Macaca fascicularis: one gene and its partners. The protein of the gene in region 7 interacts with the protein of the main gene of each other region in a pairwise test. Links are inferred from orthologs where the notes say so. Each region holds a gene or a part of one and is shown on either strand. Other genes may lie near its edges.

Evidence for each region.
Region 1: the proteins of KRT40 (region 7) and PIMREG interact in binary tests that used the Homo sapiens proteins (3 or more experiments, as listed by UniProt). The two-hybrid records come from large-scale screens. The link is inferred for Macaca fascicularis from reciprocal best matches to the Homo sapiens genes KRT40 and PIMREG.
Region 2: the proteins of KRT40 (region 7) and FARS2 interact in binary tests that used the Homo sapiens proteins (3 or more experiments, as listed by UniProt). The two-hybrid records come from large-scale screens. The link is inferred for Macaca fascicularis from reciprocal best matches to the Homo sapiens genes KRT40 and FARS2.
Region 3: the proteins of KRT40 (region 7) and RWDD2B interact in binary tests that used the Homo sapiens proteins (3 or more experiments, as listed by UniProt). The two-hybrid records come from large-scale screens. The link is inferred for Macaca fascicularis from reciprocal best matches to the Homo sapiens genes KRT40 and RWDD2B.
Region 4: the proteins of KRT40 (region 7) and JOSD1 interact in binary tests that used the Homo sapiens proteins (3 or more experiments, as listed by UniProt). The two-hybrid records come from large-scale screens. The link is inferred for Macaca fascicularis from reciprocal best matches to the Homo sapiens genes KRT40 and JOSD1.
Region 5: the proteins of KRT40 (region 7) and MTA1 interact in binary tests that used the Homo sapiens proteins (3 or more experiments, as listed by UniProt). The two-hybrid records come from large-scale screens. The link is inferred for Macaca fascicularis from reciprocal best matches to the Homo sapiens genes KRT40 and MTA1.
Region 6: the proteins of KRT40 (region 7) and DLGAP2 interact in a two-hybrid assay, tested with the Homo sapiens proteins (2 studies listed by BioGRID). The link is inferred for Macaca fascicularis from reciprocal best matches to the Homo sapiens genes KRT40 and DLGAP2.

Annotation. Positions count from the first base shown.
Region 1 is NC_088390.1:6,486,092-6,490,178, reverse strand, and holds the start of PIMREG (protein PIMREG), read right to left. Parts: upstream 2,801-4,087; 5' UTR 2,767-2,800; exon of another isoform or gene 2,626-2,766; intron 2,192-2,625; 5' UTR 2,157-2,191; coding exon 1,863-2,156; intron 1-1,862. UniProt on the Homo sapiens protein: During mitosis, may play a role in the control of metaphase-to-anaphase transition.
Region 2 is NC_088378.1:167,737,181-167,741,298, forward strand, and holds the start of FARS2 (phenylalanine--tRNA ligase, mitochondrial), read right to left. Parts: upstream 2,801-4,118; 5' UTR 2,430-2,800; exon of another isoform or gene 2,421-2,429; intron 2,291-2,420; exon of another isoform or gene 2,151-2,290; intron 987-2,150; exon of another isoform or gene 849-986; intron 1-848. Other genes in the region: LYRM4 (LYR motif-containing protein 4), read left to right, coding at 3,078-3,163. UniProt on the Homo sapiens protein: Is responsible for the charging of tRNA(Phe) with phenylalanine in mitochondrial translation.
Region 3 is NC_088377.1:18,027,091-18,029,843, reverse strand, and holds part of RWDD2B (RWD domain-containing protein 2B), read right to left. Parts: intron 2,630-2,753; 5' UTR 2,610-2,629; coding exon 2,403-2,609; intron 2,316-2,402; coding exon 2,248-2,315; intron 2,133-2,247; coding exon 1,770-2,132; coding exon of another isoform or gene 1,754-1,769; intron 668-1,753; coding exon 433-667; 3' UTR 1-432.
Region 4 is NC_088384.1:12,963,923-12,967,422, reverse strand, and holds part of JOSD1 (josephin-1), read right to left. Parts: intron 2,848-3,500; coding exon 2,719-2,847; intron 2,553-2,718; coding exon 2,358-2,552; intron 1,414-2,357; coding exon 1,314-1,413; 3' UTR 1-1,313.
Region 5 is NC_088381.1:173,603,274-173,607,486, reverse strand, and holds the start of MTA1 (metastasis-associated protein MTA1), read right to left. Parts: upstream 2,801-4,213; 5' UTR 2,587-2,800; coding exon 2,526-2,586; intron 2,379-2,525; exon of another isoform or gene 2,177-2,378; intron 2,116-2,176; exon of another isoform or gene 1,912-2,115; coding exon of another isoform or gene 1,884-1,911; intron 1-1,883. UniProt on the Homo sapiens protein: Transcriptional coregulator which can act as both a transcriptional corepressor and coactivator. Acts as a component of the histone deacetylase NuRD complex which participates in the remodeling of chromatin.
Region 6 is NC_088382.1:1,818,539-1,821,532, reverse strand, and holds the end of DLGAP2 (disks large-associated protein 2), read right to left. Parts: intron 1,915-2,994; coding exon 1,696-1,914; 3' UTR 501-1,695; downstream 1-500.
Region 7 is NC_088390.1:62,064,418-62,067,782, reverse strand, and holds the end of KRT40 (keratin, type I cytoskeletal 40), read left to right. Parts: intron 1-210; coding exon 211-372; intron 373-451; coding exon 452-577; intron 578-2,038; coding exon 2,039-2,259; intron 2,260-2,765; coding exon 2,766-2,865; downstream 2,866-3,365. UniProt on the Homo sapiens protein: May play a role in late hair differentiation.

The DNA of each region.
Region 1 (4,087 bases), about 56 Mb from region 7:
GCCTGTAGTTCCAGCTACTTGGGTGACTGAGGCATGAGAATCACTTGAACCCGGGAGGTGGAGGTTGCAGTGAGCCGAGATCGTGCCACTGAACTCCAGCCTGGACGACTGAGTGAGACCCTGTCTCGCAAACAAACAAGCAACAACAAAAAACCCAAGGGTAAACTACCCTGGTCTCCAGACCCTACCAGCGATCCCTAGACCCACCAAGTGTCCTGTAAATACAGGCTGTTTTAGTATCCAGGGTGAAGGATGTGACTGACTCCTCGTAGAATGAGTCCATGGCAGGGACCCAGCTCAGAGCTCCTGGATATGACAGCAGCAGTCAGCAGCAGGAGGATCCCCCTGGTGCCTGGAGCCTGTTTGTCTAAGTCCAAACTCTCTTTCCAGACACAGATTGACCCCAAGACTGAAGGAGAGGGCCCAGAGTAGAGCAGGCTCCCCCGCCCAGCACCCCCTGCACACCAGGAGAGCGCCTGTCTTCCTGCCTCGGGTCTCACTCACTCTATCCACCCTCTACAGTGGTCCATAGTGATCCTTCTAAAGGGCAGTTCTGACTGTGACACTCAACTGCTCGAAACCCTTCTATGGCTTCTTGTTGCACATAGGACCAAGCCCCAACTCCTGGGCCTTTCACACCAGCTGGGTGACGGCTGTGAAGGCTCTTCTTCATCAGCTCGACTGTCTTTGCCTTGGCAAGCCAGAGCCCAGGGGTTGGAGCCCAGCCCAGGTTAAATCTGATGAGTTACGTGACCTTGGACAAATTCATTTCATTTCTCTGATCCCTGAGGGTGGCGAAAACAATCAAAAAGTTCTTCCAAATAAAGACTAACATTTGGCTCAGAGAACTCTCTGCAGAGGGTCCAGAAAGAGCCACCCTCTTTCTGGAGAATTCTCTCGTCTTCAGAATTCCCAATGAGACACCGAGGAGAAACCTCTGCAGCCCCCAGTCCTCTCTCTGGAGGTCTGTTCATCCTAATGGCTTCTGTCCTTTCTAAGTGACACGTCTACACCTCCAGCTCTGGGTTTAAAGATGCATCGGTTGAAGGGCCCATAGACGCTTACATCCAATATAAGGACATCTTCCTGCCAGCACCTCTCATTTGACAGCAAATCCCCTCTAACTGACCTTCTCAGCAGCTCCTGAAGTTTATCCTCTGCAAGTCCAGATCCTTAGTCTCCTTCAGGAGCACCTCTGCTTCTATTCCGTTCTCCATCACGTAGATAAAGGACAAATTCTAATATGCTAATGAGACCAGACTTTCCACTGTTTAGAATCCTCCAGACTCCTGATCATTCCTGGGAGAGTCTAAGCTCCTTCATGTCCTTTCTCCCGGCTCTACCTTGCTCTCTGTCCTCTGCTCATACCCAGACTACAATTCTGGCTCTCCTCAGGGGTACACGGCTGAGTTGGCAGTACACCTTGCTTTCCCTCAGCTCTAGGCTTGGACCTGAGGGGCTCTGGACTTGCACTATTTCTCCTACCCTAAATACCCCTTGACCTTTGCTTCCCTGGGTGAACTCTGGAATCATCTCCTCTGGGAAGCCTTCACCGGCTAAGTTTGTGTTTGGCGAGCCCTCGCTATTGGCCACTTGCTTGCAATTTCCTATCACGTACAGCTCTTATCACCTGGTATTGTGAGCATCTGTTTCCTCCAAGACATGTTTTCACTAACTCATTCAACTATTTGTTGAGCGCCTATATGTGCCAGGAACTATTTGGGGTGCGGGGGAAACAGCAGTGAACTAACCAAAATCCCTGTCTTCTTGGAGTCTATATTCTTGAGGCTCTTTGAGGGCAGGAACTGTCTGGCACCAAGGAAACACTCCATTAAAAAGATGATTAGTATTGTCAGTATTACCTGGGACATGGCACCCAAAGCGCTCTTAGCTGAGCGAGCTGCAGCCTGGAGGCCCTGCTGACCTGGCTCTGGGGTTTCCAGGCGTTTCCAGGAGGGGCCTGTGCAGAGGTTGAGGTTGACGGCTCTCAGGGGCAGCCTCCTTTGGAACTGCCTGCACAGAGACCCCAGGGCCCCTGCAGAGGTCTCCTGATGGCTGGCCACAGGCTGCAGCTCCTTGCTGTCCTCCAGCTGCTCCTGGTGCCGGAGAGATCTCCGGCGCACAGAGGTCCCCATGCTCTGCCACCGAGAAGCCATTTGTCTGGCCAAGAGTCTTCTCTGTCCACTAGACCCTGGGGAGGAGGGCAAAAAAGCAGGTCAGCAAGGCATTCCCCATCCCCATTTCCAGGCCCCACAGAGACCCTGGACACAGGGGAAGAGATGGGATGCAGCGGGGTGGCGAGGGCGAGCGGGGAGCGGGCGAGTTGGCAAGTGTGGGTGCGGGAAGGAGGATGCTTCCTGGAAGAGAGGTCTCGGGTCAGCAGCATTTCTGCTGTCCCGCACTTCAAGTTTCCAAAACAGCTGTCTTTTCATCCCAACCTCCTTCCTCTCTCTGGCTCAGGCGAGGAGGGGAGGCGGGGTCAAGACACGCCGTAGCCGAGCTTCAGCGCTGGGCCCAGGACACGATCACCATCTCCTTCACCAGCTCGCCCAGACCAAACGCGCCCCCACGCAGATCCCGGCCTTCCCACCAGACGCCCCGATTTTGATCCGACGCTTGTAGTACCCAGACGCCTCCACAGGCCGTGCGTGTCCGAACCCGATGCCCTCCCCTCTGAACAAAAAAAATTGTTTTGAGCCGAGATCGCGCCATTGCACCCAGCCTGGGGAACAAGAACGAAATTTGTTGTGCCCCGCCCGCACTCACCCGACAGCACCAACGCGGATCACACGCCCAGCACAGCTGCTCCTCGCCCACCACAGCCGGTTTGAAACTCTGCGCGGCTCCGCCCCAGGCCCCGTCCTCACAGCTGATTGGTTCTGTCCCCGCCCCCGTCCCCGCCCCAGGGATCCGATTGGCTTTCTCTGTCGCGGCTGTAAATGCTGCGCTCGGATTGGCCCGGCCGTCCCCATTCATCTCTCCGGCCCCCTCCAGGCCGCCAGCCTCGTGGCTCCGGGCTTTGTATTATGCGTCCCGCCCGGGCCACCGCCCTTGCCCGCCCAGCCCCCGCGCATCGCACGCCGGGTCCCCTCCCTGGAGCGCGCACAGGGTTGAGGCTGCTCTGATCCCTGGGGTGGAGGCGGAGGTCCTGGGATCTAGGCCTCCTGGCTCAGGCCTCAGACCCCGCAGTGGGCAGGGACCCTGTCCATCCTGCCAAGGGGTCTGGCTTTTCTTTCTTGCTCAGTGGTTTTGTCCGAAGGAGCCAGGGCCTGGCAGTGCGGAGCCCTGGGTTCCCAGAGACGTTTCCTTTCAAATTTCCCTCCTGACCCTCCCTTCCTGTGACAAGACACTGTCCCTCTCTGAGTTCCCCATACTCGCCATCCATGCTCCGCGCCCCCCTCCCAGAAGATGCGTCCTGGAAGCGGGGATAGACCAGAGTACCCGTCTGCCCTCCTCCCGCCTACACCAGCTCCCCGTCCCCGCCTTGCCCCACGCATCCCTCCCTCTCTCAGCGGAATGCCTGCCTCTCCTCTCCTTAGCATCCAAACACAATCAGCCATTATAGAAGTTCATCCTTCTCCTTTCGGTGACCTCAGAGCTGTGCTGCCCAGTCCCCCGGCTGGTTTCTTTGTTACCTCTCCGGCACAAGAACCTGAGATGCTGACTTCTTGAAAGACTGTCTTCAGCCCTCTTCGTTTCTGGGCGGTCTCACCCACTCCTTTGGCCTCAGTGATTTCCAACGAAAGGATGATGATAATGATTAACGTGTATATGGCCCTTAGTATGCACAGGTACTGGTGTTGCAGTTTATTAACTGATTTGACCCTCTGCTATGGTTTGAATGTGTCCCTCAAATTTCACATGTTGGAAATGTAATGCCCAAATTCGTATATTGGTGGCATTTGTTTGTTTTTGAGACAGAATTTCGCTCTTGTTGCCCAGGTTGGAGTGCAGCCTGGCGATCTCGGCTCACTGCAACCTCCGCCTCCCGGGTTCAAGCGATTCTCCTACCTCAGACTCCCGAGTAGCTGGGATTACAGGCGCCCGCCACCACGCCCAGCTAATTTTTTGTATTTTTAGTAGAGAT
Region 2 (4,118 bases), on a different chromosome or scaffold from region 7:
ACAAAGCATTAAGTGGTCATTGACAACCCTAATTTTAATAGAAGGTAATAAATGATCTTACATAAAGAACTACAGGTAGTCGGTAACTTTCGATAAACGAATACTAAAGAAATTTTTATGTTTTGATGCCTAAATGGTACCTCCTACTTTACAGATATTCGCTAAGAAAAATTTCAACCCAGAATAGAATGCATATTAAAGGACATATGTGTAAGGTCCATTCTTCAGCTTCTGGCCCAATTCTACTTACAATCTCAAATAGAGTTTTTTTTTTGTTTTGTTTTGTTTTATGTAATCTCTGCAGTGAAGATGTGCAAAAGTGAGATGTAGCTTCAGAATGATTATTTTCTTTTAGTTTCTCCAGGCAATGATGTCCAACACATTGGTAAACCATTTTAAATAAAATAATGAGGTATTTTTGTGAAGATTTGGCTCAGAATTAACCGGGAAGCTATCACTTTCCTAACTGCAACCATTGCTCGTACTAATGGAGGACTAAGCTACCCAAACTATTTAAACTATACATATTTATTTGGAAAAGTTTTATTTGATTACAACAAAGTTGAGTCATTTAGATATACCATATACATTAATGATTAAATTCCTTGATAATTAGGTAGAAACAATTGTATATAGTTATTCCAACTTTACTCTCAAAAGCAAAATATAAATAACATAATCCTTGCTATTTTTAAACAAGCCAAAATAATCTTCAAGTTTTTCCTTTTCACTCTGATAGCATTCTCTATCAGCAACTTGCATTAATGTTGCAGCTTTAAGGTGCCGCATATCATTTCATATCACCAGCACACAACAGTGTATCAAGAGAAATCAGCTCTGAATCTTACTCTGTAACAATGTGCAATTGCCTTGGTCTTGGATCCTTTAAGAAATACCAAAGGGAAAACTCAAAACTTTTCAATAAACCCGAGGGTAGATTTGCTCAACGACCTGACCAACCAGGAAGTAACAGAAGTTTTGCTATCCTGTTGAAAAAAAAACAAAAAAACAAAAACAAAATCACAGACATGAGATTGTCAAGAAGTCAGGGAGGAGACTTAAAGGTATCTTAATGAAAGTATTTTCTCTTCAGTGCCTTTTAAAAAATGTCACTGCATCAGGATTAATAAGAATATCTGGATGCAAGGACACCAGGTTGCAAGTACACTAAAGAATGGTAAGGTCAGAGAAGTGTTTCCTGCCTTTAAAGTTCCTGAAAATAGAGGCTAGGCGTGGTGGCTCACACCTGTAATCCCAGCACTTTGGGAGGTTGAGGCAGGCGAATCACAAGGTCAGGAGTTCGAGACCAGCCTGACCAACATGGTGAAACCCCGTATCTACTAAAAATACAAAAATTAGCTCGGCAAGGTAGCGCGCGCCTGTAATCCCAGCTATTCGGGAGGCTGAGGCAGGAGAATAGCTTGAACCCGGGACGCGGAGGTTGCAGTGAGTCCGAGATCCTGCCACTGCACTCCAGCCTGGGCGACGGAGAGTGACTCCATCTCAAAAAAATAAATAAATAAATAAAAGGGAAAAAAAAGTTCCTGAAAATATAAAGTTGCTTAGATATACAGCAAGTTTATCGTTTTAAAACCAAATACACTAAAGCAGATGAGAACACAACCGTGACCAAGCGGTTGGGAGAAAGATGGATTTTAATGCAAAGTTGTTTTGTTTTTATGCATAAGGTACTCCTCGCTGTGCTCGAGTGCGGAAAGGTGGGGTTCTTCCTAAGGTTGATTACATAAAGCAAGATTCCAAAAACAAGAAAAGTGCTTTGCAAACACAGTAACTAGAACTGGCTGAAGCTTCCAGCGTCCAGTCCCATGCTCAAAGATCAGAAAAAGCAACTTTATCCACCACTTTAATAAAATGATTCAAAAAAGTTGAAGTCTTCTTAAGAAAGCCATGGTTGAAAACTTGCTCCGCTTCTTGGAGAACGCCTAAAGCCCTAACGGGCTCAAATTATTCTCCGAAGTCTAGAGCCCAAGCTGCATTTTACGCATTTATTAGACTACAAAACCACGGGGACTCTTCACTCAAAAGCAAAAACACATCCGGAAAGAGGAAAAAATCCATGGCCAATGTAACCCCCTAACCACACGAACCGCCCACGTCCTACCCCAGGCTGCAACGAGGTCGGCACTCACCCACCGCTCGCCCGGGAAACCCAGACCCAGGTATTTCAAAATCAGAAGCACGGCAGGCTCGTAGGCTCTCACGGGCAAGAATCTTAAACCCCAACTTCAGAGATACCCGTGCACGCTGGGCGCTGCCATTTTGACAGAAAGCGGGCCTTGCCCCGGAGGCCCCTACGCAGGTCGCCCTGAGCAGAGCCGGAGTGCCACGGAACCCCTGTCTCATCACCTCCACACCCAGACGTCGCATCCCCCGGCCCAAGGAATGCCAATAAATCCCACCCTGCCGACCATGATCGGGCGAAGTTAAGTCACCCTTGAAATCCCGCAAGGTCTCTCAGGCAGCGGCGAGGGCGGCCGCCGCCAGCGTGGGCGGGGCTGTTAGGGGCGGGGCGTCGACGCGGCGGCCTTCGGTAACCCGGGCAACGCGGCCTTCTAAAGGCACAAAGGGGCGCTGCGCCCCGAAACACAAATGTCTCCGCCAAAACCCCAGACGGTTCGCAAAGGCTCTCCGTGATGCAACTGCACGTCCCTCGAATGCCCGGACCCCCAATATCCGTCCCCCAGGAGCTTGGCTGGATGCACGGGCGGCCGGGCCTCTTATTTTCTCGCCCTCCGGCCGCGTGGAGATGCTGCTGGATCCCGAGCCTCCCGGCGGGGGCGGAGGCGGGAGCGGGGCGGGGCGGAGGCATCTCCCTCCTTGCACCGCCCCTTTAGCTGCCCCGAGCCCTGCCTTCGCCCGCCCCCGAAGCGGCGCGGGACGCCCGGCGCGGTCTGCGGTCCGCAGGGCTGCCGGCTTAGGCTTAGGACCGGCCCGCTGGCAAGGTCGAGCCGCTGCATTTTATTTCGTGCGTGGTTTCTGCACAGGCTGGAGTTCCGAGGTTGGGTCGTACTTGGGACCTCGGCGAAGAGGACCCGTTAATTTTTTTTCTTTCCAAAATGGCAGCCTCCAGTCGCGCACAAGTGTTAGATCTGTACCGGGCGATGCTGAGAGAGAGCAAGCGTTTCAGCTCCTACAATTACAGGTGACCCAGCGGGCACCGGGGACCGGGGGCCAGGGGCCGGGGACCGGGGATGTGGGTTGCCGTGGAATGTCCCCGGGAACTGGGAGCCACTGTCCTGCGCCGGCGTCCGCGAGGCAAGGACCGGGCTCCGCCATCGAAAAGCGTGCTCCTACCTACAGGTGTGGCCTCTGAGACCTCGGGGAGGAGCCCTTGTTTCTATCAGGGAAGACGTTCGTGTCCTGTGACGCTTTCCCCCTAACGACTATCTTGGTAGTTGTTCTAGGAGCATAATTAGTGTTATGTTTCTGCAGAAGAGAAAAAAAAGGATGGAAATCAGCCATTGGTGAAGTTAAGGCCAATGTGTTGCATATGTAAAACTTCCCTTGAGCTGGAAGAGTTGAGAGTGGAAGTGGCCAGTGAGTTGCACACAGCGACAAAGCTGAAGGCACACTTTAGCAGCTCCCTAAAATTTCCTGGGTGTCGTAATGAGTTCTTTTGGTTGCAAGAATCAAATCCATTCTATTTAGGGTACGGTGGAAACGTGTAGCGGTAAAGGAAAAAGCGTCTCAAGCTTTAGAGCTGAAACAGTTTATCCTGGCTCACCAGACAGAGATCCCGCTTCCTGGACCTTGACAGCAGAATACTGAGGGCCTAAACTCTTACATCGTTAATATAACACATTCACTTTTTCCCACGCCTCCCCATTTCCCTATTTGCCTATGAGTCTTTTATTGTTACTCTTTGTATGTTTTTTGTAATTCAGAACCTCTGCTTTCACAGTGTTGCTGGTTGTGACCCATCATTTTCTTATGGATTCTCTCTGCATTTTTTTTAGGTTTGTTTTTTGTTTTGTTTTGTTTTTACTAACTACCTGCTCCTCTCTGAGTTTGAGCCATATTCCCATGAGAAAGAATCTGATTGGATCAACTCATCTCTTTACCCCAAGGCCCCCTTAGGTGACTGGCCAGACTGTGGA
Region 3 (2,753 bases), on a different chromosome or scaffold from region 7:
CCCCAGAATTCCCAAGGCCAAAGCTGTGTCCTGAGGCCACTGAGAGTTGTTAGTTGCAACAGAGGCTGAAAGGGAAACAATTAGCTTTTCTGGGTTCTTTAGTGAAGGCAGGTAAGGGAGAAGGGGGTTGGGAATGGCTGGCAAATTGGAGCACCAACATCACCTTTGTGGATCATTTCTTTTTCAAAATGGGCAGCTGATATGTGAAGAAATATCTAACAATTTTAAGGTTGTAATTTAAAACTCAGTTCTGCTTTCAATCATGACATTTTTAACAGATGCATTTCAGCTATACTATTTTTTCTTGTCCCCCACTCCCCAACGTTCTAGAATGGAACTAAAATAAAATTACTTACTTAATCTTTCAAGAAAAAGTGGGAAAAAAAAATCAAAAGACTAACAGTGACAAGATACTTTCAACTACTCTTACTGTCATTGTCCTTCTACACCAAAAAACATCTGGAAAACATCCCCACATCCTTTGGCATTTAAGAACTGATAGAGCTGACCAAAGTCCATGTGGTTTCCCCTGGCTCCATTAACACTGAACACTTTTTCTTCAAAAATGGAAAATTTCCTTTGTCTTTCCATTTCATCATTTGTACCATCAAAAGGAATGTCTTCTCGATGGCGGATTAAAATTCTCTTCCAGTTTAATTTTCTGAGTCTGAAAAGAAATTTCCAAAGTAAACATTTTCAAAATGTATAGAGCACATAAAACAGAAGTTATAAAACAGACTTATCAATGCCTTTTCCTAGAAGTAGTCTACTTTTTAAAATTTTTATAACTTTTGTTTATTTAGTAGAGACAGGTCTTGCTATGTTGCTCATGTTGGTTTCAAACTCCTGGCTGCAATTGATATGCTGCCTCAGCCACCCACAGTGCTGGGATTACAGGTGTGAGTCATCACACCCCACCCAAGAAACCTACTTTTATCTCAGAGGGATTTATTTTAATCAAATATGATTCTGGTCATAATCCCATCCCCAAACTCATTTGTTGCCCTTACTACGGCCTTGTATCAGTAGTTTAGAAATGTAGGAATTACTGAATCCCAAACTATTAATGGATCTTCTCAGAAATTCATTTAGGATATCAGTAGAGAAATGAGAAGACTAGTGGCAACTCTAGTGCTTCTAGAAAGCCCCTTACTTCATAGGGTATACAGTTTGCAGCATCACTAAGATAAGGGAAGGATCAGATCCATGGAAGTGGATGGGGTCATCGTGTCTTGGGCAGGAGCTCAATTCATTCAGCGTATATTTACAGAATGTCTCCTATATGTACTTGTCAGGTGAGGGGGAAAATGCTGACTACATGCGATTTCTGCCGTATCTATCAACTTGAGATTGAATCCCCATAAAGATACAACCCCCGGGACATACTTATCTCCAAATCTCTAATAGTCATGTGTTGCTCAACAATGGGGATACATTCTGAGAAATGTATCTTCAGGTTATTTTGTCATTGTACCACCACGATAGAGTGTACTTACACAAACCTAGATGGTACTTTTTTTGTATTTATATTTTTTCATATAGAAAAGCAAATGTCCCAGCACGATTACTGAATATCACTCTGATATTCAATAGTGGGAAGATCAAGTGCCATGTATCAGGTTTCTATATGTGCTCCATTATAATCCTATGGCACCACTGTTTTATGTGTGGTCCACTGTTGAGCAAAACATTACTAGGCAGCACATGACTGTATCTTGTTTACTATTAAAATTTTTGACATGACTTCACATACATATGTGAAAGCAAACCTTGACCAGAATTCTTCACAGGCACTTTGTGGGCCTTCCACACAAACAACACCAGGTTTTCCAGGCATGCTAAACCCAGACAGGGAAAGCTCCTTTGCCCACTCTAGAATATTCTTTCTTTTGCATTTGTTGTAGATATGATGGCTGTAGATCCAGAGTCTTGTGAAGATGAGGTCAACTGACTGGACTGTGCTTCCTGTGGGGGGTGAAGATGAAGTATCTCTGCTGACATAGCCAGACGCGTGTTCTCTAACCCACTCCGTGGCATTCAGTATACAAACATCTCCATGACAATGTTTTTGCAGGAATGCAGTCAGATCTGTGTTCAGCTGAGTCTGCTGGGATCTACTCAATATTACTGATCTAACAGAAAAGATATAAGAAAACAATTGTCTGGGAACAGAAAACAAATTCAAGAGTTGCTTTTATTCTCAGATTAATTTGACCTCTAAAGTTGGCCAGAACTTCTGTAACGTACCTGACAGTAATTTCAGGCAGAACTGCTGGGTATTTAAAAGGAAGAATACAGGCCAGAGAAAACATCGCCTGATTAAAGAGAAGAAGAAAAAGTGCACTAACCAATGTTTTAAGTCTCAACATGTTTCAATCCTTCCAAAAGCAAAACTGAATTACCATTGCTTCCTCAGATACATCCAGGTTCATATTGATAGTAAAGTAAACTTTTGAAGATCGCCCCTCCATTGTCTTCTTTTCAATACAATCTTTCAGTTCTGCTACAGCCAGTTGGTCATTTACTATGAGCTCATTCTCACCAGGGAACATACTGGCTAGCAGGTCTAACTCAGCAAGCTGGGCCTCCGCCTGCTCTATCTCAATCATTTTTGGACATGTGTAAGTTTCTAAGGAGGTAAAGACAAGAGAGACAATTTACATATGCAATCTTAGAAGAAATGAATACATCAACAAGGGTACTTACTAAAATTTTATTTGATTTCTTCGTAAATTGTACAATTTAATTAGTCT
Region 4 (3,500 bases), on a different chromosome or scaffold from region 7:
GATACATAAAGGAAACGACATAAAGATGACCAACCCAGGTCCTATTCCATCCATACAGTACAGAACCACCCAGCGGGAGCTTGGCACTATAGTGGCAGCCTCTGAGCCTAGAGCGTCTACTGAATTCTGGCTGTCCCTATTCCAAGCAGCTTATCTTCACAATACTTTCCTCACCCAACTCTGCCCCAAATTAGTGGAATTTGATGTCAAAGGCAGACTTTTTTTTTCTGATTTTGCCAGAGTAAGTAAACTGGGAAAACTGCTCTTTGGCTTCTCTTTTGTCCCAGAGCCTCCTAAATCAATGTTGCGAAATGGTAGGGACAACACTGGAGTGAAGAAACCAAGCCACCCCGTGGCTGTCCCAGTTTGGCTTTAGCCACATCCTGTTCAGTATCTTACTTCATACTGGAATATTAGCATGGAATATTAATTAATTTTTCATTATAAAACTCTGCCGGGTGCAGTGGCTCATGCCTATAATCCCAGCACTTTGGGAGGCCAACGCGGGCAGATCACCTGAGGTCGGGAGTTCGAGACCAGCCTGACCAACATGGAGAAACCCTGTCTCTACTAAAAATACAAAATTAGCCGGGCGTGGTGGCAGGCACCTGTAATCCCAGCTACTCGGAAAGCTGAGGCAGGAAAATTGCTTGAACCAGGTGGTGGAGGTTGCAGTGAGACGAGATCATGCCATTGCACTCCAGCCTGGGCAACAAGAGTGAAACTCAATCTCAAACAACAACAAAAAAAATCCTCCATGTGTGGCCATAAACCACCCTTAAACCCGGGGATAAGGGTTGGAGACAGCTCACTGTACCGCTGCTAGGGTTCTGGACATGGTTTCCTGAGAGACCTTTATGCTCTGGGTCCTTCAAACCAGTCACATGGGCTTTGTGTGCACTATCTTCAGACCCACTGTTTTCAGACCCAGACAGGACGGAAAGTGGAGACAGCATCTCTAGGTGAGTGTGGAGCAGCAGTGACAACTCAGCAGAACCTACGTCAAGTCCTCATAGAAAAGGGAAAATAAGCTAGGATTCCCTCCCCGCTCCACTTTCTCCTTTCTTAAATAAAACAAGGGTTTGTGACCACTGGCCTTGAGTGCACAGAGCTCCTACCTTCCTTGCCCAGGAACAAAACACGGGGTAGTTCTTACAACAGTCCACCCGTCTGTCCTATTGCACTGTCAGATCTGAAGGGGAAAAACCCGATGAGATGTTTGGGGAAGTGGGAAGGGCAGACCCACTGTAGAGGCCACAGCACATCACAGAGGACTGAGGGGGCTGAGGCGAGAGGGAGGTTGGGGAGAACTGCTACACGTCAGTCCTCCAACTCTGATGAGCCTCTACCTCTTCTGGTACCACCAGCAGGAGTTCACAGTTCTTTCCTCGCAAATGATGTTTTAGAAACTTCCTATGGAAAAAGAGACAGAAAAAATGAAATACTGTCAAGTTGCAAATTCCAGTCTCAGGACCACAAAGTCACCTGAAACCTTACTATACCCGTGGCGGCCCAAAACACATTTCTGTAGTCATCTGGCTTTGGAGGGGTCCACGTTTGGTTGTCCTCCAATCTTTCCAGTTAAAATTCCAACCTAAATTTTTGCTCATCCTTACAGTTACTGCCAACAGTAGCTGGATCTGTGAATAACAGTACCCAAAGTACTATAAAGGACTTTTTTTGGTTGGTTTGTCTGGAGACGGAGTTTTGCTCTTGTTGCCTGGGCTGCAGTGCAATGGCATGATCTTGGCTCACTGCAATATCTGCCTTCTGGGTTCAAGCGATTCTCCTGCCTCAGCCTCCTGACCAGCTGGGATTATAGGCGCCCGCCACCACGCCTGGCTAATTTTTGTATTTTTAGTAGAGACGGAGTTTCACCATGTTGGCAAGACTGGTCTCGAACTCCTGACCTCAGGTGATCCACCCACCTTGGCCTCCCAAAGTGCTGGGATTACAGGCGTGAGCCACCACCTCTAAAGGATTTTTATAAATGTTCTTTGGTCCTAGGGAAATTCAGTCCTCCTTGGCCTGAATGTCTGTCTTCCTTTCTATGAACTGGCAACTACTGTCTCAGTTGTCTTAAATGGAGAGAACATTACAATGCCAGCCCCACCAGACCAGAAGGTTGGTATCTCAGGCTGTGCATCTTCCCTACCAAAAGGACTTAAAAGTACTGGTGGGTCATCGAAGATTAGGGTCAGGTCCAAGACACTATGATTCTATGATTCTAAGGTAGGGAGAGAATCCAAGGGCACAGGAATTTCATTTCCTTTGTCAAATAACCAGAGATGAGCTCAGTGTCCCCAACATAAGAAATGAAGCAGCCTAGCGCCTTAGTCACAACAGGTGCTGATTACCTGAGCTCGCTCTCGCCTCCAATCCACTCCGGCATCTTGAGTTTGGAGTCGAGGTTGTAGTAGGCCCCTCCCACCTCTCGGACACAGATCCAGTGCTGCCTTTTGAGGGGCAGTTTCAGTGGACCCCAGCATAGGCTGGAGGGCAGATTCATGATGAAGCCCATGACATTAGTGAGGGCAATGACACCGACATCCCTGCAGGGGAGAAATGGTGGCAGAATCTGAGGCAGCACACTTCCCAAGGTTCCCTGGCTGTAATACCACAAATGGCTACCTCCCCACTCATGCCATGAGCCCAAGTACTAAAAGCTTATACCACAACCGTGCTGTTCTCCATCAAGTCAAGCCTGATTCAGATTACCTGCGCTTGTCCCACCAAACAGCTTCATAGCCTTTGGTCTGAAGTGCTGCCATAATGACATTCACATCGTAGTTGCCATTTCCCAGCATGCTCTTCTTGTGAGGTGTCACCATGGTGTTTGGAGACAACCTACCAATGTGAAAAGAGGAGGCTGAGACTTGCTGGGCTGGCTAACCCCTCCTGACCCTGCACTACCGGGGGTGGAGAGCACTTGACATCACTGCTCCTGGAAGTTAGTTTCCCAACATTCAAGTGAAATTTCCCCGGCTTCTACCTATTTTGTAACTGTTCCACGAAGGAGCCTCACTTATGAAATCCCAGCCTCCCACAGCCTTTCTGCAGTCTTCCTCCTGATACTGATCTTCCTGCCTCATGTAAGCCTTTTTTTTCAACACTGGAAAATAGGATTCAATATTTTCATTTGCATGGATAGTAACTGTTGTCACTCCTGCTTTCTATTTAAGGCATGTACACTTGGTAATCATTAATCATTAAATACTGAAAGGCATACAGGAGCCTAGACAGGTGACACAAATGTATAAACTGGGGTTGGACATAAGGCAATAAAAAGCAGTGAGGCCTATGTGAAACTGGAATGCATGACCCACCTAAAGGCATTGTGTGTGTGTGTGTGTGTGTGTGTGTGTGTGTGTGTGTGTGGTACTTGAATAAATTTTTCTTAAAATACCCAATAAATGAACTGAAAAAAAAGTTGTGCCCAGCAAACAAAACTCAGCTGCAGCACTGGTTTGCCCACCCAGCTTGAAGTCATTTACTTCCAG
Region 5 (4,213 bases), on a different chromosome or scaffold from region 7:
CAGCCTGGGGGTCCAGGCCACCCAGCCTCACAGCACTGGAGTGTTGTGGGTCAGTGAGGCCCCGGGACGGGCCTCCAGGCACAGAGGGACAGAGGGTTCAGGGAGGGCGGTGCAGACCCACACAGGGCTCCTCCCAAGCCTGTGCAGGGCCCAGGGGAGCTGCACCTCCGGGACGGGACAAGGCAGGGTCCTGGCTTTCGTCAGCCACAGCACAGCTGCCACAGGGCACAGAAGGATGACTGAGAGACGAGGTCCTCACCCACACCATGGGGAAACCGAGGCACGGGACGGTGGGGGGGCAGCCAGGCTGGCGCCAAGTTCACAGGCAGGCGGGCCTGAAGGCCGAGCAATGCAGCCACTGGGAAGGCACGAGTCGGGGTCGGGGTGTCCCCAGCCCTAGAGCCCAAAGCCGCCACCACTCCCCAACCCCAGCCTGGGTGGGGGCAGGGAGAAATCTTCTTGGGACCAATCCCAAAACCATGCGCAGTGGGCCCGGCTGGAGCCCAGGCAGTAGGCATCCTCTCTACCGGGATGAGAAACTGGGCCCTCATGTCAGGCTGGAAGGGGGATCTCCAGGTGGGGAGAAAGAACAGGAAGAAACAGGTCGCTCCCTCAAGGGACCCCACACCCAGGCTGCCCCAGGCGTGGGGTGGGCTGAGCCCACCTGTGTCCACACAGGGACCTGGCAAAGCTGTATGAAGCTGTGGGAGGGGGCTGACGCTGGATGGGCACAGGCCCACTGCCTCTGTGAGAGGACAGGGGAGGCCCAGAGCTGCTGATGCAGACTGACCGCCCATCTCACAGACGGGGTGTAGGGGGCTCCCACCGTCCCCAAGGTCACAGGGCTGGCCGGCGAGACCACACGGCGTCCAAGGCAGCAGAGGCCACGCTCGAGGGACACGGCGTGTTCTGGGCACTCGGGGTCACGGGCATGGGGATCAGGCCAGAGCGAGAGAGACCCCAGCTCCCTCCTGCAGCGCAGGCTGCAGGTGGGAGAGGCAATGGGCACCTGCCGAGAGGGTCACAGGCAGGGAGGGGTCTCAAGAGTCCCGGGGAGGGAGGCACTGATGGAATGATGGAATGCGCACGACCCCCCATCTCCCTGTGAAAGACCCCACGGAGTCCCAGGCACTCGAAGGAGGGCAAGGCCCAAAGCTGCAGGCCCGCGGGGCCCGAGCAACAGGAGGCTTGACCCAGAGAGGAAGCCCCGGGCCCCTGCCCAGGGGACCCTCCGGTCTCTCCCCAACCCTAGCAAAGCGCCTCCCGAATGGGCTGAGGTGAGCGGGAGGCAGGGAAAAGTTTGGGGGGACTTAGAGGCGTGCTCGGGATACTCGCTCCCTGCTGAAGACCCCCTGAGAGAGCCCTGCGGGGGGAAGCCCCGGGGCCAGGCTGCAGGAGGGCTCTAGGGAGGAACGCGGCCCCTCACCGGGGCTCCCCATCCGCAGAGGGGACGCACCGGAGTCCTAGCACAGGGCCGCGGGCCGGGGGAGACCCCACAGCCCCAAAACTCCTGCTCCCAGACCGGCAGCCGGCGCCTCCCAAGGCCACGTGCTCCCGCGGGGGGCTCCCGGCCCCGGCCCCCCGGATGTCCCCGGCCGCCCGCGCCCCTCCGCCACCCCCGCGGCCGCCCCCTCGGCCCCAACAGGTGGGCCGCCCCCCACCCCCGGGCCGCCGCGCCCCGCCCGCCCCCGATGGGGCCGACCCGCGGGGCCATTTTGGGTTGGGGTGAGCACTGCGGGGGGAGGTTCGGGAAGGAGCCGGGGGCCGCGGGGGCGGACGGGGGGCGCGGGGCCTGCGGGGCGGAGGGGCGGGGGAGGCGGCAGCGGCGGCGGGTGGGGGCTGCGGGCGGGTCGGGGCCGGGCATAAAGGCGGTGCGGCCTTACCTCCGACCCTGTACATGTTGGCGGCCATGTCCGGGCCGGCGGCGGCGGAGGGGCCCGGGGCGGGCGCGGCGCTCGGCGCGGGCGGCCGGGAAAATGGAGGCGCGATGGCGGGGGCGGGGGGCGCCGCAGGCGTTTAAAGGGGCCGCGCTGCTGCCGCCGCCGCCGCCGCCGCCGCCGAGGCCGCCGAGGCCGCGCAGGGACGGGAGGGCCGCGGCGCGGGCGGGAGAGGAAGAGGAGGAGCGGCCGCGGGCGGCGGGGAGGGGCCTCGGGCGCCGCCGCCCACCGCGCGGGCCGTTACCGACCCCGCGCCGCCCGCGGCCCGTGCGCCCCTTCCCGGACAGTTCCTCCCGGCGCCCCCGAGTCCTCCCCGCGCGCCGCTTCCCCGGTGGGCCATTCCACCAGACCCCCCTGGTAGATCCTCCACTAGTGCCCTGGGGGTAGAGGGGGATCCTCCACAAGGGTCCTTTCCCTGGTGATTCTTCCTGTGCCCCACAGGTGAGTCCTGCCATAACTCTCCAGGGGGTTCCTCCTGATGCTGGGGTCCTCCGGCATTCCCCCCTGACCCCCAACAAGGGCCCTGAAGCTCAGCGGCCCAGCCCTGGCCTCGGGGTCCCCACCCCACACCTCCCTTCCAGGCCTAACCTTTGCCCCCGACACCAGGCAGCGTGTGTCCTTGGCCTTCGCCGCCCAGCCCGCATGGCATCTCTGGACCGGTGACCGTGCGCGCCTTGGTGTGGGCAGGCTCCGTAGGCGGCAAAGCCTCCCTGAACTGTGACCTGGTGAGAAGGCCACAGAGGAGGTGCCTGTGCCCAAAGGCCACCTCCGAAGACCCCACCTGAGGCTGGAACCCAGCGCCTGCTGACCTCCCCAGCCCTAACAGGGCTGGAGTCCGGGAGCGGCCGTGCCCTTTCCACAGTGAGGCAGCTGCCCTCCCTCCCCACCACCTGTCAGGATGCCCTCCTGTGTGTGTGTGTGTGTGTGTGTGTGTGTGTGTGCGTGTGTGCGTGTGTGCGTGCGCGCACAGGTGTAACGAGAGGAGAGTCCAGTGACCCAGACGCCCCAGCCAGGAAGAGCATGAGGTGGGAAGGGGGCTTCCCAGATGGAGAAAAACAGATGGTCCCACAGTGGCTTGGAGACAGGTGCAACATCAGTGTTGGGGGAGGTGAGGAAAAGGAGCTGTCTTGGGGCTCCAGGCTGCTGGTTTGAGCAGCACCATGGGTCTCGGCCCTGCCTGCTCAGATGCTGGAGGTCAGTGACTGGAGGGAGCTGACATCTACCTGGGACATCCCTCCCTGTAGGACATGGAGCGGAGTGTTCAGGGCTATCAGGAGGGAGCCCTGTGCCCACGGTTCAAGATCTAGGCAGGTGGGACAGATGTGGTCAGGGTGCTGGGGACAGAGCATAGGGAATCCGGCACACAGGACACCAGCCAGGTGGGCAGAAAACAGCATGTGCTGGGAGAAAGCCAGGTGGGGGTCCCGAGGAGAGCAGTGGCCACAATGTCTTGGCTGCAGAGCAGACTAGAAAGGAAAACCCTGCCAGGGTTAGCACAGGGCCAGGAACCGAAGCTGCAAGGCAGTGCTGTCTCTGGGGAGAGAGGGCTGTGGGTCCCAGGACACATCCTACGGGCCGCAGGGAACAGGAGCTGGCTTGCTGGTGATTGGGTGGGAAGAGCAGACAGCCAGGGGCCAGGTGCAGGAGAGGGGCAATGACAGACAGGCAGTGTCTCCCTAGAAAGAAGGTGGGGCTGCTGCCTCCCCTGTCCTACAGCCCCGGCCTACCTCTGTCTCCTCAGCAGGAAAGCAACGCTGCGGCCTGAGATCTCCTTCCACCAACTCCTGGCATGGTCAGAAAGTTAGCCAGAAACAACAGAAAGTGCCAGGCAGCTAGGAGGCATGGGGAGAGCCCCCGAAGCTGTGTGTGTAGTGCCTGCTTCCGCTGCCATCCCAGAAACGGAGGCGCTTCACCCTGAAAACCCGGCCACGCCACCAGGACACATCCTGACAGTGACATGCACACTCTCCCCTGGCCTTGGCCTGGAGGGGAGACTCCTGCAGACACCAGCCTTGCTCCTTCTCCCGTTGGGGGTGGAGAGAACTGACTGCTGGAGGGGAGACAGTCAAAGCTGTCCTTAGGAGGGAGTACGGCGCAGGGTCTGGTGTCCCAGGGAGACAATCTGAACTTCAAGCCAGGACACCGCAGCGAAGAGGACACACCCCTTACCATGCAGAGTGACGTTTAGTAAACTCTCAAAAGACAGCACAGAGCCCTGTTCCTCCAGCCGACCCCTACTCTGCCTCCCCACTCCAGACCAGTGAAAAAGGTGGATT
Region 6 (2,994 bases), on a different chromosome or scaffold from region 7:
CGAATGAGGCAGGGAGACCCCGCGGCTCTGGAGGGCGCTCTGCCGGACAGCTGCGCCTCGAACGCCCTGCCAGCCACGGGCTGCAGAGGGGCCGGGGACGCTGTAAAGTGCAAATCAAGGTGAAGAAACAAAGTGCTATGGGTCGTCCTCGAAAGCGGTTCTGCCTGTGGCTAAGTACATGGTACTCCTTAAGCCGGGAAGGAAGACCAGGTACTGGGGTGGAAACATCTTACATCGCAGTCCTGCTTTTACTCTGAGTAATAACGAGGACTCTGAAACTGGAACCCAGTGGGAAAATCTGATAGGCTTTTCCTTCGAAGACTGGTCTGAACTGTGAAACAAGTCGTGTTGGAACAACGGTCATGGCAGCTGAATTTAATGATACACACGGAGAGCCTATTAGTCGTTCCTATTTTCCTCTGGCACCGACCACAGAGTCATGAACACTAATTTTTTTTTTTTTTTGAATTCCACAGCTGGAAATCACAATATGTGACCTCTTTTTCCCTTCAGGTCTAACACAGGCAAGGAATATATTCTTGACTTAAGCAATACTGCATTGGACAAAATAATTCTGGAAAAATACAAATGTAAACTACATTTCTTCTTTACCATTTAAACTGAGATATACTTACCACTCACATTCATATTTCTGAAACTTTTTACAACATCACAATTGTCATTTTAAACAAGCAAACTTTTTGTGTTTTTTTTTTTTCGTGGTTTTTTTTTTAAGGATACCCTGGAAAGTCAGCTGATAGAACAATTTGAGAATATATATATACATACATTAAAAAAAATCACATGTAGCGTAAATGGTGAAACTTAAAGAAAATACTGGGTGTCGTATTTTAAGTTACAAAGAAATAAAAAATACAATAACTATTTCATAGAAGTAAGGACATTGTTTCCCCTTTATGCTCCCAGCCCTCCGTAAGACTCTCCTCTCTCTGCCTGTGACTTCCTCGTGGGAACACTCGGCTTATCTTTTCAATGTGTAGATGCTGTGCTGGGTATTTTAGTGGGTTCAGATTTGTCATCCCCTGGGATGCTGGAGAACTGTATGGTGGGGAGTTTGGTGGCTGGAGAGAGAACCTTCCCTCACAGTAAGCTGGACACAAGGAGCCTAATGTTTTCTACCTGTGACAAACAGGAGCAGGAGAGCGGAGCGGGTGGATGGGCTGCCTGTGCTCAGGGAGCAAAAGCTCGGGTGTGCGAGGGGAATGGGCCTTTCTTCCTGCACTTCAGGTTGTAGCACCTTCCACTTGGGTGTCTAATGCCTCTAGGGGGTGGTGAGATGCACCCATTTATAGTTATTTGTTATTCTTACCTCTAATTATCACACAATTTATAAAAATAGAAATAACAAAATGTAAGCTGGGTTCCAGCTCCAGAGGCATTTCTCGCCGTCCTCTGAGAACACGGAGGAGAAGTCAGGTCTCACCACGCCTGTCCCTCAGAGCCGAGTGTGAGCCAGGCCACCAGTTAAAAAAAAAACAAAAGTCGTCCTCGCCACGAGCTCCGTGGACTCTGAGGCCACTGACCGCATTCCACTGTGTTCACGGTACAAGGAGCATGAGAGCAAGGGCGTGTTCAGTGGAAGAAATGACAGAAACCACCAGGGAGGCAACAAACTGTACAAGCGTTTTGTGAAAAAGCAGGAACAACCAAGGGGAAGGTGGCCGGCCTCCATCCTCAGAGCCGGGTCTGGGCCTCGGGGATGTAGATCTCGATGCTGTCCGCGCGCTCGGTGGCAGAATTCTGCCGGAAGGACGCCGCTCGCTTGGCGGCCATGAGTCGTCTCCGGGCTTCCTGACGTTGTCTGTCGGGCAGGTCCAGGGATTTTTCTCTTGTGATGGGAAATTTCCCTTTGGGGGGCTTCTTTGGTATTGGAGGTGGGACCTTTCTTTCTTCCTGAAAAGCATCACAAGTCAACATTGGCAGGTGGTCGGAGGTGGGTCCTTAACAGCTCAGTGGCCCTGGGGTCTGGCCCACACCCTTCCCGACCACAACCCCCGTGGCAGCATCCTTCATTCCCTTCCCACGTTTCCCCTGGTCCCTGACTCCCAGGCCACAGGCTTGCCTTCTGCACAGTATGTAATTTTAGAAGCTCCCTCACACTCTGAATTCAAAGGGGGCAGAGGTGTTGGGGGCAGGGTTCACGAATCAGGAAATACATTCTGCAGATTCGCGCCTTGCGTCTCTGGAGTCACTGAGTTATTCTGACATTGTTGCCTGATTCCTGCACTTCCCGAAGCCCTGTGTCATCTCCTCTGAGCATCGGCCGATACCTGCGTCGCCAAGCTCGGCACTGCGAGGGTTTTGGACACCATCGCTGGACATCCCTATTAAACACTGCAGGGATTTCCGCAGACTCTGGGATTCCAAGTGTGTTCATGAAAACCATCTTACATGGGTGGGTGTGTTGGGAAACACTGGCCGAATTCTCTTGTTGGCCTCAAATCCCACTGACATGGATGATATTTACAAAACCACTATTCACTGGCTTGCTTTGTAAAAAGATGCAAGTAAGTATTCCTGACCCTTAGCTCAGATTCTCAGATAAGTCGCGCTAAAATACGTGTATGCCTTTTTAGAAAGATAAATCTCACAATTACGCAACAAATGCAAAGGGTAAAGCTTGCACTTGCCCCCGCAAAACGTCTGTGTCCACAACTGTGCGTTCACATCGTTCCTAAAGACAGCGGGGCCTGCCCCGTCTCCCCTTCTGGACGGAGCCATGACAGGGACTCTGTAGCCAGCTGTTTCCTTCCCAGGAAAGGGCGCATGGCAGAAGGCGTCAGAACCACTTTCCTAAGTCGGTATCTAATTTTGGGGGAGAAAAGCACGAAAACCCCACTCGTGTCTTTTTCTCTTCAGCCTCTGAAACATTCCACAGGGAGCCCAGAGGTGCTTGGAGATCGGGGAGACAGGTAGTAGCGTGAGTGCGGAGGAGGCCTGTGGCACGGAGGCTGCTTTGGTGTCTGGAACTTT
Region 7 (3,365 bases):
TTCTGGAAAAATGTCCGATTATTATGTCCATTTTACAGACGAAGAAATTGAGGCCCTTCTAAGTGGTGAAAAGAGATTCAGCCCAGACAACCTGAATCAAAATCTCACACTTTTACCTACTACTCCACAAAACAGAAGTAGAATGCCATTGGATGTCAAATGGATTTTTCCCCATCATTCTGTGACATCTTTATGCCATCCCACTTTCAGGAAGTCAGCTTGCTTCGTGGACAGCTTGGGGACCGCCTCAGTGTGGAGCTGGACACTGCCCCCACCCTTGACCTCAACAGGGTCCTGGATGAGATGCGCTGTCAGTATGAAACGGTGCTTGCCAACAATCGCAGAGAAGCCGAAGAATGGTTCGCTGTTCAGGTCAGCACCCAGATCGAAAAAATGGCAAGGTTACAGACTTCCGCCTTTTGTGAATTCTCTAATGGTGCCTGTGTTTCAGACAGAAGAGCTGAATCAGCAGCAACTGTCCAGTGCGGAGCAGCTGCAGGGCTGCCAGACGGAGATCTTGGAACTGAAACGCACAGCCAATGCTCTGGAAATTGAGCTCCAAGCACAGCAAAGCCTGGTGCGTGAGGCAAAGGCAGTGTCCGTTATGTCACTGATAAGTCAGGCTCTGAGATGTTAAGCCCTCTTCCATATCCAGGGATCACATTTCCTTGCCTTTCCCAAGTACTGCCGTTTACCCAGTATTAATAGAAGCAGAAGTGACAGGTCCACAGCTTGTGTTGTCCCTCTAAGATGCCTTACCTTCACTCCTGGGCTTGAGTCTGATGCTGCAGCAGCCTCCAGAGACAGGGAGGGAGAAGCAGAGCGAGAGAAACCTCCAGGCCATGGTCACTTAAGCATTCCAGCAGGTTTTAATTCTCATTTGATTCAGGCCAGTTTTCCAGGCTCACTGTTATATCTAAAACAAAGAATCATTTTCAAACATTTCATCCTACAGTTTCCCTACAGGATCTACACTTCAACCTGATCCTTCACTGTACCCCACCCCACTCAAGCAACAAGAACACCATGCGTCCAAGATGACATGAACCAGTTCTGGTCAAGCACCACTGTGTGCATGTCATTAGATCCTGCGGAGAATACCTAGGAGAACAATAGCTGAGCATTCATCCAGTGAGAGGCACTATGCTCATTTAAGCCTCACAGTAACTTCACGGGATAGATACCTTTATCCCATGACACAGATAAGGAAAACTGAGACTCAGATTAAGTAACCTGCAAAGGATGCAATTCTAAGAGGCAAACTTGGAAGCTGAGTTCAGCCAGTTGAATCCCAGAGCCTCTTCTCTCTCTCTTTTTAAATTTATTTTTATTGATATACAATATTTGTAAATATTTATGGAGTAGATGTGCTATTTTGTAACATGCATAGAATGTGTAACGATCAAGTCAGGATATTTACAGCATCCATCACCTCAAGTATTTATCATTTCTAGGTGTTGGGAGCATTTCAAGCCCACTCTTCTAGCTATTTTGAAATGCACAGTGTATTGTTGTTAACTGTAGTCACCCTTCTCTGCTGTCCAACATGAAAACGTATTCCTTCTGTCTAGCTGTATGTTTGCACCCATTAACCAACCTCTCTTCATCCCCTTACCACACACATGCCCTTCCCAGCCTCTGGTATCCAGAGCCTCTTCTCCTAACAGCACTATACTACCCCTCCCTGCCAAGAGCCCAAACTCAATCTTTCCTCTCATATGCTGTTGATAGTCCTTAAGCTTCACAAATAAGTCATGTATTGCTGTAGTCATAGTGGTGGTAGTGATAGCTGACATGTAGAACAGTGGCAGTACGGCTGGCACTGTTCTAAATGCTTTACACATATTAATTCTTAATCTTCACAACCCTCTAATGAGACAAATACTTTGCATATAGAGAATAAAACTGAGACTCACAGAAGCTAAATAATTTGCCAGTGGTCACATAGCTAGAAAAGGGTAAGCAAGGATTTGAAAGTAGGCACTCTGGCCCAAGAGACTGCACTTCATGGTCCTTTGGACAATGTTTCCTCCTGCAGACAGAATCTCTGGAATGCACCGTGGCAGAAACCGAGGCCCAGTACAGCTCCCAGCTGGCCCAGATTCAGTGCCTGATCGATAACGTGGAGAACCAGCTGGCCGAGATCCGCTGCGACCTGGAGCGACAGAACCAGGAGTACCAGGTGCTCCTGGACGTGAAGGCCCGGCTGGAGGGCGAGATCAACACGTATCGGGGCCTGCTGGACAGTGAGGACAGCAGGCAAGTTCCACAGTTACTCATGATATCCCCCAGAGTCACAAAGAGGCTGATGTAAAAGAATCCTGTTTCCCCAAGGTCTGGACAAGTTCAAACCTCCCCAATGTGCTCAGGGATCTTCTTAAAAGAGGGCTGAACAGTGGCTGAGGTTAAGCACATGACACTAGAGATATTTTAAAAATATTATAAAGGCAGATTAATTATTAGTGTAACATTTCATACTGGCATCTCCCTTTGTTCCTGTTTTCCACTAAAGGAAAATCAGGAATAGGCCTGAGATAACATTTGCAAAATCAAGAAAAAATATAAAATTCTATTCAACTGCCACTGCTACAGTGAACATGAAGTGGCAATTCTGGGTGCAGAGAAGAAACAGGCTTCAGTCAATGCTATTGTGCAGAGTTTTTTTCAGAACATAATTTGTGGACAAACTTTGACATGGTTTGTCTGAGTTTCCATTTTATCAAGATTCCCTTGCTAAGCTTGGTTTAACATCAATTTTTCCCCAGGCTTTCCTGTAACCCATGTTCGACCACATGCACCTCGAGCAACACTTGTGAGCCATGCTCAGCCTATGTCATCTGCACGGTTGAAAACTGCTGTTTGTGAATGTTAAGGACAGCAGGTAGAGGAATCAAAGCCGGCAGCATCCTAGAAAGGAGATGGGGCTTCAACCAGGGGCATCCAAACAGGAATCACAAATCCAGGGGACGCTCATATCCTGGAATTGCCCTCCAGGTATCCTCAGTCTTTCTGCTTTACTATTTCCTCTCCTTCCGGCTTATTTGTGGTATGCTGGGAGCCCATAAAGCGTTCTTGCTCATCTCCAAATAAAACATGTTTTACTCCTTTCACATGGTAAATATAGCTCTATGGCTGATTAGTGTTGATAGAATATTCATTTTATGGCAAGAGAATCATCTAAACCCATAACCATAGTTTCAACATACAAAAACCCAGGTTGAAAATATTTTTTAACTCCTCAAATACAAACACATTAATGAACCCATGCAAAATGTCATATATCTTAGAAAACAGTTGTGTGTATCTTTCTGAGAAAAAAATTAGGAATAGAATAATAAAATGTATTTTTTGATTATAAAAGTACT